Oryctolagus cuniculus: one gene and its partner. The protein of the gene in region 2 interacts with the protein of the main gene of each other region in a pairwise test. Links are inferred from orthologs where the notes say so. Each region holds a gene or a part of one and is shown on either strand. Other genes may lie near its edges.

The links.
Region 1: the proteins of EEF1A1 (region 2) and LAMTOR5 interact in a two-hybrid assay, tested with the Homo sapiens proteins (2 studies listed by BioGRID and IntAct). The link is inferred for Oryctolagus cuniculus from reciprocal best matches to the Homo sapiens genes EEF1A1 and LAMTOR5.

The regions. Positions count from the first base shown.
Region 1 is NC_091438.1:59,942,722-59,950,250, reverse strand, and holds the start of LAMTOR5 (ragulator complex protein LAMTOR5), read right to left. Parts: upstream 4,469-7,529; 5' UTR 4,372-4,468; coding exon 4,337-4,371; exon of another isoform or gene 3,592-4,336; coding exon 3,530-3,591; exon of another isoform or gene 1,636-3,529; coding exon 1,518-1,635; exon of another isoform or gene 171-1,517; coding exon 110-170; 3' UTR 1-109. UniProt on the Homo sapiens protein: As part of the Ragulator complex it is involved in amino acid sensing and activation of mTORC1, a signaling complex promoting cell growth in response to growth factors, energy levels, and amino acids.
Region 2 is NC_091436.1:99,026,678-99,034,090, reverse strand, and holds EEF1A1 (elongation factor 1-alpha 1), read right to left. Parts: upstream 4,977-7,413; 5' UTR 4,949-4,976; coding exon 4,805-4,948; intron 4,548-4,804; coding exon 4,368-4,547; intron 4,255-4,367; coding exon 3,958-4,254; intron 3,878-3,957; coding exon 3,727-3,877; intron 3,626-3,726; coding exon 3,369-3,625; intron 3,203-3,368; coding exon 2,968-3,202; intron 2,866-2,967; coding exon 2,741-2,865; 3' UTR 2,456-2,740; downstream 1-2,455. UniProt on the Homo sapiens protein: Translation elongation factor that catalyzes the GTP-dependent binding of aminoacyl-tRNA (aa-tRNA) to the A-site of ribosomes during the elongation phase of protein synthesis.

The DNA.
Region 1 (7,529 bases), on a different chromosome or scaffold from region 2:
CAACTAACTCTAAAATAAATAGAATAGTGCCTAACTTCTGGAACTTTAGAAGCTCCATAACATGTTGGATCAAGTCTCTGACATGCTGCTGGAGCACTGCTGACAGATGTCAAGAGGCCATTTTGTGCACTGCCACTGTGATGCCATCGTGTTTCTGGATCATGATGTTCCTGAAGGGCAAAGAGGAAAATACTCAGTAAAGCATCACAAGTTAGACAAGATGTTGTCTGGTTTAGGACACAATTTTAAAAAACAGTATTTTATTTTGGACACAACTTCTGGGAAATACAGAAAAGCTTAAGGGGGCTGGTGCTGTAAAGCTGCCGCCCACAGTGCCGGCATCCCATATGGACAATGGTTCAAGTCCCAGCTGCTCCATTTCCAGTCCAGCTCTCTGCTATGGCCTGGGAAAGCAGCAGAAGATGGTCCAAGTCCTTGGGACCCTGCACCCATGTGGAAGACTTGGAAGAAGCTCCTGGCTCCTGGCTTCGGACTGGACCAGCTCCAGCCATTACAGCCATTTGGGGAGTGAACCAGTGGATGGCAGATTCTGCTTCTGCCTCTCTGTAACTCTGCCTTTCAAATAAATAAATTAAAAAAAAAAAAAGTGTAAAATACAAAAATGAAATGAATTCTTAATCCTATTATTCATAGACAACTATTTTTAATTTTCCTATTTGCATATATTCTCTTTTGGACAAAACAATATTGTGCATAGTTTTGTATTATCTCTTCACATCATCGTATTCTAAAGACCCTCACTTGGAATACGTTTAGTATTTCTATTACTTTAGAAATAGTTTTGATGGGGGCTGGCACTGTGGCAAAGCGGGTAAAGCCGCCACCTGGGGCACTGGAATCCCATATGGTCGCTGGTTGGAGTTCCAGCTGCTCCACTTCTGATCCAGCTCCCTGCTAATGCACCTGAGAAAGCAGTGGAAGATGGCCCAACTGCTTGGGCCCCTGCACCCACGTGGGAGACCTGGAAGAAGCTCTGGCTCCTGGCTTCAGATCAGCCCAGCTCCAACCATTCTGGCCATCTGGGGAGTGAACCAGCAGATGGAATCTCGGCCTCTGCCACCCATGTGGGAGACCTGGATGAGGCTCCTGGCTCTGGCCTGCCCCAGCCCTGGCCATTGTGGCCACCTGAAGAGTGAACCAGCACATGGAGGATTCTTTCTTTCCCTCTTTGTGTAGCTCTTTCAAATAAATAAATCTTAAAAAAAAAAAAAAAAAAGAAAAAAGGCTTGATGCTTTGATTAGTTTTCTTTTGTGGTACTTAATTACTTCTGTTTTCCTGGGAGACTAATAACAGTTTACTCTTCATTTAAGTGTCACTGTGGTCTGCCAGCACATTGGCTTCCAAGATTCTTGTCTGCTCCCATGGCCCAAAGGGTCAAGAACCTGCTCCGACATACTTTGAGTATGGAGTCACTGAGGAACACAGAGCAGGCCTCAGTCAAGTTGTCCAGGGGTTTTTCTGAACAGAAAGGAAAGGATCTGAGGCCTCTACTCACCCATTATCTGATTCTAGGCACACCACAGGAATGTCGGTGGGGTCAGAGGTTAGCTTTGCTGCTTGCTGCGCCAGAACAGAGATCACTCCAGCATGCTCATCTGACAGCGTCCCACGGCCTGAGAGAGAGAGAGAACGATGGTATCAGGGCACCTGGTGAGCCACAAGTAAGTTTGGAGCAACAGTATCTCACTGAATGATTCACAAAGAGGAGGTTCAGGTCCTGGTCCTTTAAGTTTGGTGCTTACATGAAGTGACTGTTCCCTGACGCTCAGTGGTTACATCAGTGAGAAAGCCGGGCAACAAAAATCAATAAATCAGTAAGCTATAACTGACACACCTATCACCATCTGTAAACAGCTTCAACATACCAGGACGCTGTAATTCAGGTCACTCTGAAAACCATAAATTCACTGGATAGGAACCTTGCGAAAACAAAAAGCTTAGAGGTGAGATTGACAAAAAGCAGTCAATACGCGCAAGAGGCTTGCTGAAGCTAATTCATTCCTCATGGGAAAGCGGATTTCCTCTCCTGAGGAGTCACGCAGTCTCAGATCTCCTCGATGGCACGTGTGAACATTCTGTGAGCAGTTATTTCTGCTAGCATAGCTACTTGGCTGTTTTCAAATGCCCACACGATTGTCTTCTACTCCTGACTGCTTTAGCTTGTATATGATAACGGAACCTTGGGTCCCAAGCACAAAATGTAACTGCTGAGTTTACTGTGTCCTGTATGTGTGTATGAAGGCAGGCCAAGCAGAACCGTGCCTGTGGCTGGTGGGCAGAGGGATTTCCTGACAGCAACTCACCAGCACGGCGCCATCTTTTGCACCTTGAAGCTTTCTTGAAGCAACTCTAATAGAGTTTCACACTTCATTTCAGTATTTCCATTAGTGAGTCTGGCAAAAGCGTCAAAACATTTGCCTTTTTTCTCCAAGCAACTGAGTTATAGATTACCGCTTTGTTACCCTTGCAGCAAAAATTCAGAGCTTTAAAAATTCTTGCACTAAGACGTGTCCTGGGTTTACTAGTTCTGACATTAACTAAATGCTCTAGTTATCTATCATTTTCCTTATCTATCATTTCCTCATCTGTGATTGCTGTCATTCTCTGAGCATGTTCCATCTGGGTGTGCACTGTCTTAAGCATATTATATAATCTCACGGCATTGTGATTGAAGAGGCTTTGGACCCTGACACCATTTCTAGCTCAGCCAATTACCGCCCTATGACCCTAGGCAAGCTACTTTACCTCTGTGCCTCACGTTGGTTGTTAGGAGGAGTGCGTGAGTTACCATTAGAATGGTACCTGGAACTCAAGGAAGAGCACGCAATTCTGTAAGCACTAGTCTCAGTAAACAAGAGCCCAGTGAAGCTATGCCATGGAGGCCGGTGCCATGACACATCTCTGATGCCGGCATCCCATATTGGCAGCGGTTTGTGTCCTTCTGCTCCATTTCTGATGCAGCTCCCTGCTAAAGGTCTGGGGAAAGCAGTAGATCGCCCAAGTGTTTGGGTCCCTGCCACTCTTGTGGGAGACCTGGATGATTCTGGCTTTGGCCTGGCCCAGCCCTGGACATTATAGCCATCTGGGGAATGACTCAGAGGATGCAAGATCTCTCTGTCTCTCCCTCTCTCTAATTCTTTCAAATAAATAAATAAATATTAAAAAAAAAAAAAAGTTCCTGAAAGGTTCATTTAGGCCCAAGTTCACACAACTAGCAAATGAAAGAACGGGGTGGGGGTGGGGGGAGTGTTTGAACTCAGCTGTGCCAAACTCAGAATCTCCTATTTTCACTGTTGGTGTACTTGGACTAGAACACTGCACCCACCCATCATGCAGGGATACTGTGGAAAGTGCAGCAAGGCAGGTGGAGCCTCGCATATGGCTCAGCACATGCTCACAGCTCTCATGGGCGAGTCCTGTCTAGGCCCAGTTTGAAATGACTCAAATACTATTTGGTCAACACCAGGTGTGGCGCAGTCCAGCAAAGGGTTGGCAGGAGATACTTACAGCCCAGATTGAGGCCTTGTGAGTCTGTGCACAGGACTCCAACAATGGACGGGTTCTTCATCCTAATTCCAGAAACACAGGAGAGGTGAGGCAGAGGGCTTGAGAAAGTGGATGCAAACGGTTATGACGCCCGTGGGCCTGCCATGCTATCAGGCATTGCCTAAGTGCTTTAAATGGGTTTCTCGACCTCTTTCCTACCACACTCCCCAACCCCGAGCAAAATTAAAGTAGTAATTGAAGCCAGCTGCAGAGAAGAATGAGTATCTGCTGGGTTTGGGAAGCCTAGGCGCACGCAACAGTTCGGATGCGGGGTTTTTCGCCGTTCTAACCGCACGCTTTACGTAACAGCTCAGGTAAGACAACTGGACAAACTAAGAGGCGTTGCCTCCCGGAAGGGAAGTGGGATGACGAGGGAGTGGCTGGGAGGGTGGTGTCTGCACGTACACCTTAGACTTTTGCAGCTTTGAGTTTACACAGACGTTAACACATTTAAGGAACAGGTATTTCCTTAAACACCAAATGACAGATCGCACACACGATCTGTGTGTGTGTGTACCCGGTGCGGCCGACGGCACACCTGCGACACCCTCCTGAACGACCTAATCCTGCGGACGGCGCCCCGAGAGGAAGGCTGCGGGCCCCAGCGGGATATTAACTTCGGGCCACCGGCCCCGTCCCCTCGGCCAGCCTTCTGGGGTGGCACGGCGTCCCCGAGCCGCCCTCCGGCGCTCGCGGGTCTCGCCCGCTGTCCCGCACGTAACCCGCGCTGCGACCTCAGAACTGGCCGGAGAGGCCCGCACTGCTCACGTGTCCTCCAGGTGCTGCTCCAAGGTCGCCTCCATCCCGCCGGCCGGCAGCGCACCCCCGCCCGGGCCCCCGGAGCCGTCGCGTTCCGCTTCACTGCGGGCCTCCGTCACGTGACGCGAGCCTTCCGCTGCCCGCGACGGCGCCGCCGATGGGACAAAATTCGCCGCGGCGCCACGTCCGAGTTCTCTCCCGGAAGACGGCGCCGAGCCGTGCTCCCGTCTCCCTGAGGGTTCGGGCTGCGCGGGGTGAGAGTCTGCAGCCAGGCCCCAGCGCCTCAGTTCCTGGCCTGCAGTCTGGCCCAATGGTTCTTGTCCGTTGGTCTCAGTGCAAACGACTCCGAGACCCAAGGACAGGATGGTGTTTGACAGTAACCCTGCGGGCCCGGCGGGATGGAGCAAGTGGCCAGAGGAGCCACGGGCTCCTTGAAGGGCGTACACCCGGGACAAAGGACGAGGTGGCCCGCGGGTAAAACCCGGAGCGGGGCGCTGGCAAAACGTGTTGGAATTTTAACTAAGACACTGCTTTTCCTGTGATCAGGGCTCAGGAAGGTTTGGGGCCAGAAGGTGCCGTGTGATACCTAACGCATAAGGAGGACTGGGGTGACACTCCCTGAAAACAGCTTTACAAGCTGTCAAAGCCAAGATTAAAAATAAAGGAAGGAAACCAGCCACACTTCCCACACTTCCACTGCCAGAAGTGACTGCAGTCCCTTTCAGGTGGATGTATTTGCAGAGGTATGCTCTAAATGGCTTTTGTTCTTTTCTAAGCAAAAAAAAAAAATATTGGACATGATTCCTTTGCTGAGCCTTTGCACAGGTTTTAGCATAAATGTCTGTTCGTGTTAATAAATACTTAGTTTTGAGGCCGGTGCTGTGGCACAGTGGGTTAAAGGCTTGGCCTGAAGCACCAGCATCCTATATGGGCGCCGGTTTGAGCCCCAGCTGCTCCACTTCCGATCCAGCTCTCTGCTATGGCCTGGGAAAGCAGTAGAAGATGGCCCAAGTCCTTGGGCCCCTGCACTGGCGAGAGAGACCCGGAGGAAGCTGCTGACTTTGGATCGGCACAGCTCCGCCATTGCAGTCATCTGGGGAGTGAACCAGCGGATGGAAGACCTCTCTCCCTGTCTCTACCTCTCTCTGCAGCTCTTTCAAATAAATAAAATATTTAAAAATAAATACTTAGTTTTTATTAATTGCAAAATATTCCATGTCTCAGCCGTATGTGCTTTAACTGACTTGACCAACTCCATGTTAATGTACAGTTTGGATACTAGCTTGCTGGGTGAATATCCTCTTGGCTAAATCTCTGTGCAGTTTAAAATTTTCCTGGTAAGCTACTAGAAGTGGAATTACCGGGCCAAAGGATATGGTTGTTTTTAAGACTTGATGGACGTGAATTGCTGGCACAGAGGTAGTGCCAGCGTGCACTCAGATGGTAGCACTTTGGTGAAAACAGGAGCGCACCTGTGTGTCCTGCCAGTTCTGCTAAGCCTCGCCTTACCGGAAGCGTGCTTGAGCCCTCTCACCTGCAGCTGTTACCCGGGCTCCCTGCTGACTATGGCCAGCTCAGGGCGCTTTCAGCCTGGAGGGCAAAGTCCCTCTTCATTCCCAGAGGTCAGAGGGGAGCTTCCAGCTTCCTTCAAATCCCACTTTGTGCGTTGCTTTTCAAGGGTTTTGGATTCCTGCCCTAGAAGAGTTATTTCTGGTAAAGGACAACACAATATGGACCATAGACATTTTTAGGAAAAAGGATTTAAAAGCTGACCTCACAAGATTGCAATCAGACATGTAAGTGAAGTACTTACTAACTACTGGAAACCAAGTTGTGACGGCTGGCTGGGGAGCCAGCCTGCTTCCTGCTGGTCATGCGTTGCAGGACCGCCCCCTTGTGGTTACTCGGTGTGTAACGTTTTACCGGGCTGCGAGGTGCAGCCTTGGGTTTTTGGTGTGTGCGTGTGTGTGTGTATGTGTTTAACCTCTTAGGCAGCCTGCAAACAGAAATAAGATGACAGGGCACTCCTTATGTGAAATGATCTGGTAGCCACATCAGAGAAGTCTAAAAACATGTGAATTAACTTTTAAGAAAATATTTTACATACCCAGACAGTATATCCAAAATATCCTTTCAACATAAAGTTTTCAAAATCCAATGTACATTTCATGCTTACCAGCCCATTTCCATTCACAGGATCCACGTTTCAAGTGCTCAGCAGCCGTGAGAGGCTGGCAGCCACAGCAATGGTCAATGTGGCTCCCGCGGATCTCAGATGACCGCCAAGCCAGATGGCACTGAGGCTGCTCATTGGTATTTAGGCTGCAAGGAATGCCGGCAAAGGGGAACAGAAGGAGGAGGATGGCAGTGGGCACACACCAGAGGCAGGAGGGCAGCCTGCTCCGCCAAGTGGCTCGCTCTCTGCTGCTACTGGTTTGCCCCATGCAGTCTGGCACAGGGAGCATTTGCCTGCTAGTATTTTTTTTAAAGACTTATTTATTTGAAAGTCAGAGTTCTGAGGGGCAAGGAGAGTCTTCCATCCTCTGATTCACTCCCCAGATGTAATGGCTGGGGCTGGGCCAGGCTGAAGCCAGAAGCCAAGAGATTCCTCCAGGCCTCCCATGTGGACAGGGGCCCAAACACGCGGGCCATCTTCTACTGCTTTTCCAGGTGAATTAGCAGGGAGCTGGATTGGAAGTGGAACAGCCAGGACTTGAACCGGTGCCCATATGGGATGCTAGTGTCACAGGTGTCAACTTTACCTGCTGCGCTGCACTGCCAGCCCCTGTACTTTTTTTATGCTCACTTTGTAATGTCGGAAAGAGCTCCTTCTCTGGGTCTGCCTCCCGAGTGCCACAGAGCACCACGGGAGTTCCATAGATTACTGAAGCGTCTTGATGGTGGCCCGGGGAAAAGACTGCATGGCAGGCAAAGAGTCTTCAAGTCCTGAATGCCGACTGCATTATCCTCTCCTGTCTCCCATCCTCCATAAACCAGTGCCTGGAAAAATGGAAATCCCAGCAGGCCCTCGTCCGCGTGCCCTGACTGGGAGGATGCAATGCAGAGGGGGAGCCCCAACCCCAGAAGTCATCTCACTGCTGTTTGCTGGGCCCTCACCCCAAGCAGATGTCTCTGAGGGATGCCTCTGAGAAACACAGCTCTGGCGGAGTCAAGCTGTGCCCTGGGTGCAGAGGACTCTGCT
Region 2 (7,413 bases):
CCATATGGATTTCCTGACTCCTAGCTTCAGCCTGGCCTAGCCCTGGCTGTTGCAGCCATTTGGAAGTAAGCCAGTGAATGAAGATCTCCCTGTCAAATAAACCTTTCAAAAAAAATCCCCTGTGATGGGTAGACTACTGCCCACTACCCTTTCTATGGAGACCACCATATGGTCCCTTTGCAGATTTCTGCTGGCTCAGAAGTCAGCAAAAACTGCTCAATAACCATGCACGCAATTTCCATTAAATTTTTTCCTCTTCTGAGTACCTTAGTATTCAAGTTATCATTCAATCCTGGCTCTAACCATACTCAGGCCTGCACGTAGGAGGGGACTGGTGCTACTTAAGCAATGCTGGGTGTGAAAGAAATCTATGGAACCCTGAAGTTTGAGAAATTAAATTGAGAAACACATAAAACCTTCAGGTAACAAGTAGAAAAAATCCTATGCATCCCCTCCCATCACAGAAGCTAGAATGCTATTCCCTTCTTCAGGGTATGGTCCCAAGTCCACAGAGCAACTTTCTGCAGCATTCATGGTGATAAATGAACTAATGCTAACAACCTAAAAATTATGCAAAGTTTTCTTCAACTGTTTACTGCCCTTTCTAACAGGCCTCATCAGAATTGACTCCCATGGTCAAGAAAAGCTTGCTCTAGAATTTGCTCAGCAAGCAGAAAATTAAAACCAAGTCCTAGCTTCCTGCAGAATGCTTCTATCCTATGCTGAAAAACTTGCTTCTACTGTGCCAATCATGAGCCAGATCAACTTTAAACTTAGCCATTTATGTTGAAGCACAAGTTTAGATAAAAAAAAAATAAAAAAACCTAAGGTGATTTCACTAGAACTGGGTAACTGACAGCTACAAAATACAAGGGTTAAATCTCCTGTCCAGTTGGACAAAAACTTTAACTGCATAAGATACAAATAGTATCATTAAAACCCTAGCATTGCTACATACAGAGGCTGGGTTTAATAGGGAACAACTGTCTCACTAGAGCAGAGTGGGTAGACTGGCACAGCTGAGGTTTACTAGGCAAGTAGAATTAACCATAGGAAAGTGATGGGGAGGTGTAAGCTTTGAGTCTTGAATGTGGTCAAAACCCAGTGATTGTTATTTTGGGTAAGGATTTAACAAAAAAATGAAGTTACACCCTAGTATTACCCCCAAACCAGAAACACCTTTCCTAATATGCAAGATCATACCAGAATCCCTGGGGCAAATTCAACAGCTCAAATTAAATTACAGCTATGAAATATAGCACTAGGTTTAAATATTCAATTTAGCTTGAAGTCCAATCCAAAATATGTTTTCAATCAACCACACAAGTATCACTTTGTCCTTTGACTAATGTTTAGCATCTACCAGTAGATGGTGCTCAAAACCAATTATCTAAAGCACACATGCAACTGGCTCTCAGTAAACTGCCATGTCCTGCCCTCCCCATTTTGCAGGGCTATCCTAGTACATCTCTTCTAGTAAACCCGTTAATAGCCAGCTACATCTCACCTCCCCAAAAAGCTGCAGGCAGCATGCTCATGTGAACAGCTCTTGTACAAGGCAGGCTAAATGCAGTCAGTTTGGCTACTTTTAATAGTTCTATGGGGTACCCTGAAATTCTCAGAACACCAGCCACTGTAAGGCCACCTTTTCAAACCCTGGTTCAATCTGAATTTACAGACCTTATTTTGCCTTTCAAGCTGCATCAAAATCCCAGGGAACACACCCCTTTAGATTACCAAATACTTACAGAATGTTGGAAATCCTATGTTAATTAACTCCAAATTAGAAACCTCAAAGTTATCATATCCATAGTAAATCACCGTGTAGATTCCTTACTAGTGACCAGCCAGCCAACAATCCAAAGACCCAGTACACTTGATCATGTCAAGTGAATACCTCCAAACTATGATTGTCAGCAATCTCCATGCTACTCATGGGTCACTAATACCACTATGAACCTCAAGAATAAAGCTTATTTGAAAATATGCTTTCCCCACCTTCCTGTATCTTAATTCTGATCATCTGTGGTCCACTTCTTATGTCAGGCTACAAATCCTTTACCAAACTGCTTTAGAAGAAATCTGTTAGAAATGGTGTTCTCACTTACATCAGGAAACCACTTTTTACGTTTTCTTAGGACCCTAGAAACCAGTGCTGTTTTACTAAAACTTCAAGTAATTTGGGAAACCAAAATTTAATGATTCTAACAAATTTACTTGTAGCTACACAATTTTATATGCAACATTTCATCCCTTAAGATTACAGAATTTTGCTTTCTAAACTAAATTACATGTCAACAGTTCTAACCAGCAGGGCTAACAGCCCTCCATAGCTTAAAACAAACAGGTGGGAAAAAATCCCTAACCCATGGAGTTTTAAAATTCCAGCCAATTCTAATTAGAAAAACCTGGAACACATTTGACAGGTCCAGTGTTGACAAGAAGACACAGGTTTCTCATTAAACTTTGTTTTAATGGGTCTCAAAATTCTGTGACAGATTTTTGGTCAAGTTGTTTCCATTAAAAAGTACTGATTTTAAAAACTAATAACTTAAAACTGCCACGCACAAAAAAAATGGTCCACAAAACATTCTCCTTTCCTTCTGAAGGTTTTACGATGCATTGTTATCATTAACCAGTCTTTTACTATTAAACTTAAATGGCCAATTGAGACAAACAGTTCTGAGACCGTTCTTCCACCACTGATTAAGACTGGGGTGGCAGGTATTAGGGGTAATATTCATTTAGCCTTCTGAGCTTTCTGGGCAGACTTGGTGACCTTGCCAGCTCCAGCAGCCTTCTTGTCCACTGCTTTGATCACACCCACAGCAACCGTCTGTCTCATATCACGGACAGCGAAACGACCTATTAAAACAAGTATTGAGTTGCCATGAGACACATAGTTCACAGAAGCAATTGTTAATCTTTAGTACAACTTGTAATAGCAATAAAAAAAAAAATCCTTACCCAGAGGAGGATAGTCAGAGAAGCTCTCAACACACATGGGCTTGCCGGGAACCATATCAACAATGGCAGCATCACCAGATTTCAAGAATTTAGGGCCATCTTCCAACTTCTTTCCAGAACGACGATCAATCTTTTCCTTCAGCTCAGCAAACTTGCAAGCAATGTGAGCTGTGTGACAATCCAGTACAGGGGCATACCCAGCACTGATCTGACCTGGATGGTTCAGGATGATCACCTGGGAAAAAAAGGATATGCATTTTAGTGCTTCTCAAACTGAACTGTGGTAACAGCTAGAAATGCTAACTCCCCTGATGTGATAACACTTCATACATGCATCAGATTGCTTACCCCCTTGAGTATGCATGAACATTGTCAATTAACAGATCATTTTAAATTGTTACCTGAGCAGTGAAGCCAGCTGCTTCCATTGGTGGGTCATTTTTGCTGTCACCAGCAACGTTGCCACGACGAACATCTTTGACAGACACGTTCTTGACATTGAAGCCCACATTGTCCCCAGGAAGAGCTTCACTCAAAGCTTCATGGTGCATTTCGACGGACTTGACTTCAGTTGTGACATTGACTGGAGCAAAAGTTACCACCATGCCAGGTTTGAGAACACCAGTCTCCACTCGGCCCACAGGGACAGTGCCAATACCTAAAATATTTGCAGATTACCAAAGAGTTATTGAGGGCCAAAGATTTTTCACCTGTTCCAATTCAAGTTATATTCTGATGTTACATTAATACCCAACTTACCACCAATTTTGTAGACATCCTGTAGGGGCAGACGCAGAGGCTTGTCAGTTGGTCTAGTTGGTGGAAGGATGCAGTCCAGGGCTTCAAGCAGTGTGGTTCCACTGGCATTGCCATCTTTGCGGGTGACTTTCCATCCCTTGAACCACGGCATCTGAAACACAAGAGAACAATTAATTCTATCACATCACCACTTCCAGCTCTTTAACAAGCACTGTCTTGAAAGTCACTTACATTAGCACTTGGCTCCAGCATGTTGTCACCGTTCCAACCAGAAATTGGCACAAATGCTACTGTGTCAGGGTTGTAGCCAATTTTCTTAATGTAGGTGCTGACTTCCTTAACGATTTCCTCGTATCTCTTCTGGCTGTAGGGTGGCTCAGTGGAATCCATCTTGTTAACACCAACAATTAGCTGTTTCACACCCAGCGTGTAAGCCAGAAGGGCATGCTCACGGGTCTGCCCGTTCTTGGAGATACCAGCTTCAAATTCCCCGACACCAGCAGCAACAATCAGGACGGCACAGTCAGCCTTTAAAGAAATCAAGGACACACACTGTGAACGAAGGTACCTCAAACCTAAGGAGGAACTCACCCACCCCCCGCCTAGAAAACCTTATGTCTACAGTTACTAGTTGCACAAACCTGAGATGTGCCTGTAATCATGTTTTTGATGAAGTCTCTGTGTCCTGGGGCATCAATGATAGTCACGTAATACTTGCTGGTCTCAAATTTCCACAGGGAGATGTCGATGGTGATACCACGCTCACGCTCGGCTTTCAGTTTATCCAAGACCCAGGCATACTTGAAGGAGCCCTTTCCCATCTGTAATTACACAGAGCACTCAGACGGTTACTAAGACACAGCAAAGCTTGAAACCCCATGCCCCCCTCCGCTTGGGAATGCATTCCGCTTCCCAAACTGCTGGGCCTAGGTGGCTCTCCAGTCGATATGGTGGCTCGTGATTTTAACATTCACATTCAGACAACTAATCACTGTTGTCTTTTATAGTCATAGCACTCTCATTTTAGTGGCCAGACTTAATGTAATTCAGCATCTTTCCCTTGCGATACTGGACATACCTCGGCAGCCTCCTTCTCAAATTTTTCAATGGTTCTTTTGTCGATGCCACCACATTTGTAGATCAGATGGCCAGTGGTGGTGGACTTGCCCGAATCTACGTGGCCAATGACGACGATGTTGATGTGAGTCTTTTCCTTTCCCATTTTGGCTTTGATTTAGCGGTGGTTTTCACGACACCTAAAATGGAAAAAGGGGGGGAACCTTTGAACCACTGTCCGAGGGTTGAGACTAAGCCACGTTCAAAACTCAAAAGGGCAAATTCCAAGGAGAATTACATCCAATGCCAAGCTGGCCTAACTCTTCAGTCTCCACCCACCGAGTGAGTTAACTCCATCGCCTAAAAAATCTCCGCCCCCAGCCGAGCCAAGCCGAACTCCAAAGGCCACACGAAGAAGCCAGGTGCCCAGACGGCGCCCTGTACCCCGTGGGGTCGCAGGAAGCGGCGGCCGAAGAGGGGAAGGCTCTTTTCCTTTGTGTGGGTGACTCACCCGCCCGCTCTCCCGGGCCACCGCGTCCTCCATTTTGAGCTCCCTGCAGCGGGGACGGCGAGCGGCCATCTTTTTCCGCGCACGCAACTGGTGCCGAGCGGGCCGGGCTCCGCCGCCCGGGGTGGGGCGGCCGCGGCCCCACCGAGCCGCCCGCCCCACGACCCTCGCCTCTCCCCTCGCCCGGCCTGGGCAGGCGCGGCGCCGTCGGGCCTCGCCCAGGCCGCGCCCGACATGTGCGCCCGGACGGGCGGGCCCCGCCGCTCGCTGTCCCTACGCCGCGCGGCCGCCCTGCCACCCCCTCGGGCCGGACGACGAACGCGCGGGGTAGCCCGCCCGGCCTCGGCGGGCCCATCTCGACGAACAAAAAAAGAGCCGTACCGATCCACGTAAAAACTCAAAGGGCCGAAGGGCCCCGCGAGCGAGGCTAGCCAGGCCGGCGCGAAGGCGAGAGGACTCGCACGCGGCGGCCACGCCAGGCCTCAACTCCAGCACGAGGAAGAGGCTCCTGGAAAACGCGCAAACCTCCAACCCTCCCGCCCCGTTACAGCCCGAAATTCGGAGCCAGGAACCTCGTCAAGAGGCTCAGTGGCATGGCAGTGTCCCCGAGCACGCGAGGGCCCCAGCCCGCTCAAGGCCAGACCCGCGGAAGCCACACCCGACACTCACCTGTGTTCTGGCGGCAAACCCGTTGCGAAAAAGAACGTCCAGGGCGACTACGGCACTTATATACGGTTCTCCCCCACCCTCGGGAAGAGGGCGGAGTCAGCACACGACACCGCTTTCCCAGTTTGCCCCGCGCCACCTCCACTAGGCACCGGTTCAATCGCCGTCCCCTCCCCCAACGCCTCGGGGACCGTGGGCGATGTGCGCTCCGACCACTGACGAGCACACAGCGCCTCGCGCATGCTCGCCTCGGTCCCGGTGACGACGAGCGCGAGGGGTAGGGGGCGGGGACGCGGCGATCTCTCGGTTCTAGGGTAACGGGAGTTTAGCGACGGTCCCTGGGCTTCCCCGAGACTGAGGCGAGTCCTCTTTTGTATGAATTACTCTGGGCTCTGGCGGCGAGAGGTGGGGGGAGGGCGGCGGCGAGGGCACCTCCGGGGTCTTCCACTCTCCCCGCTGCACCGCAGAGGTATCGAGGTTCGGGGTGTCTTCCCGCCCAGTCCTCAGCCTTGGCGCCTCGCTGGTCTGAGAGGAAGCCCCGGAGCCTCTTCCTCTGTGGATCACGGCCGGGTCCTGCTGCTCCCTCGCCTCTGCCTTCTGCGCCCCTCCGGTCGGGAGAGGCGTGCAAGGCCCCGGGACTCGGGGCAGCGCGGGGCTAAGGGCTCGGGGAGCGAGAAGCCGGGAGGGGCTCTGCCCGATGGCCGCGAGCACCACGCATCTGCTCCTGGGCTCGTTCCACCAAAGCCTGTCGCCTTTCTGGACGCCCGTGATACAAGTCGCCGCCTGGGGTTCTCCAGATGTTGGGTGTTTCAGTTTAGAACAGACTTCAGTCCTACCGTTAGCTGTACTTCTAATCCTGGTTTTGTTGGGCTAAGACTCTGGAAGAGAGTTCGTGGTCCCATTTTTTTCATCGTGTGCTGTCACTCGACTGCAAGCCCGAGAGGCCATGCTTCGCATTCAGCCTTCCCACATGATCTCGCAGCGACTGAGATCTACAGCATCAGCAAGCTTCTCCCAGCTTCCTATTTCCAACACTTGCTGCGAAGCCACTGCTCTGAAAGCCCCCCTCCCCCATTGAAGTACATGTCTTCCTTTTCTGTTGGCCTGTTGATCGTAACTGTTATTGATTGTAACTATATTTTAGCATAAATGAGATTCGGCCTTTGTAGATGGCTGTCAGGTTGGCCCTGTGAAACGCTCCTTTGAGAAAAGAACATTCATTTTTAATAAGCTGACTGCTGGCTCATTGTGTCAGGCGCAGTAACATCCCTGCCCGACTTCCCAGGCCAATCTATGAACAAGTATTTATTTGAGGACCTGTTATGCGCCCAGTGCTGTGTGAAGCATTGAGGGGTGCACAAAAGAAATAGTTCCTCCTGGAGAAGAACCCAGCATCAAATTGGAGCAGGAGAGTAATATGTAAACCACGGAGAAGCAGTTAAAGGCACATTTGTACA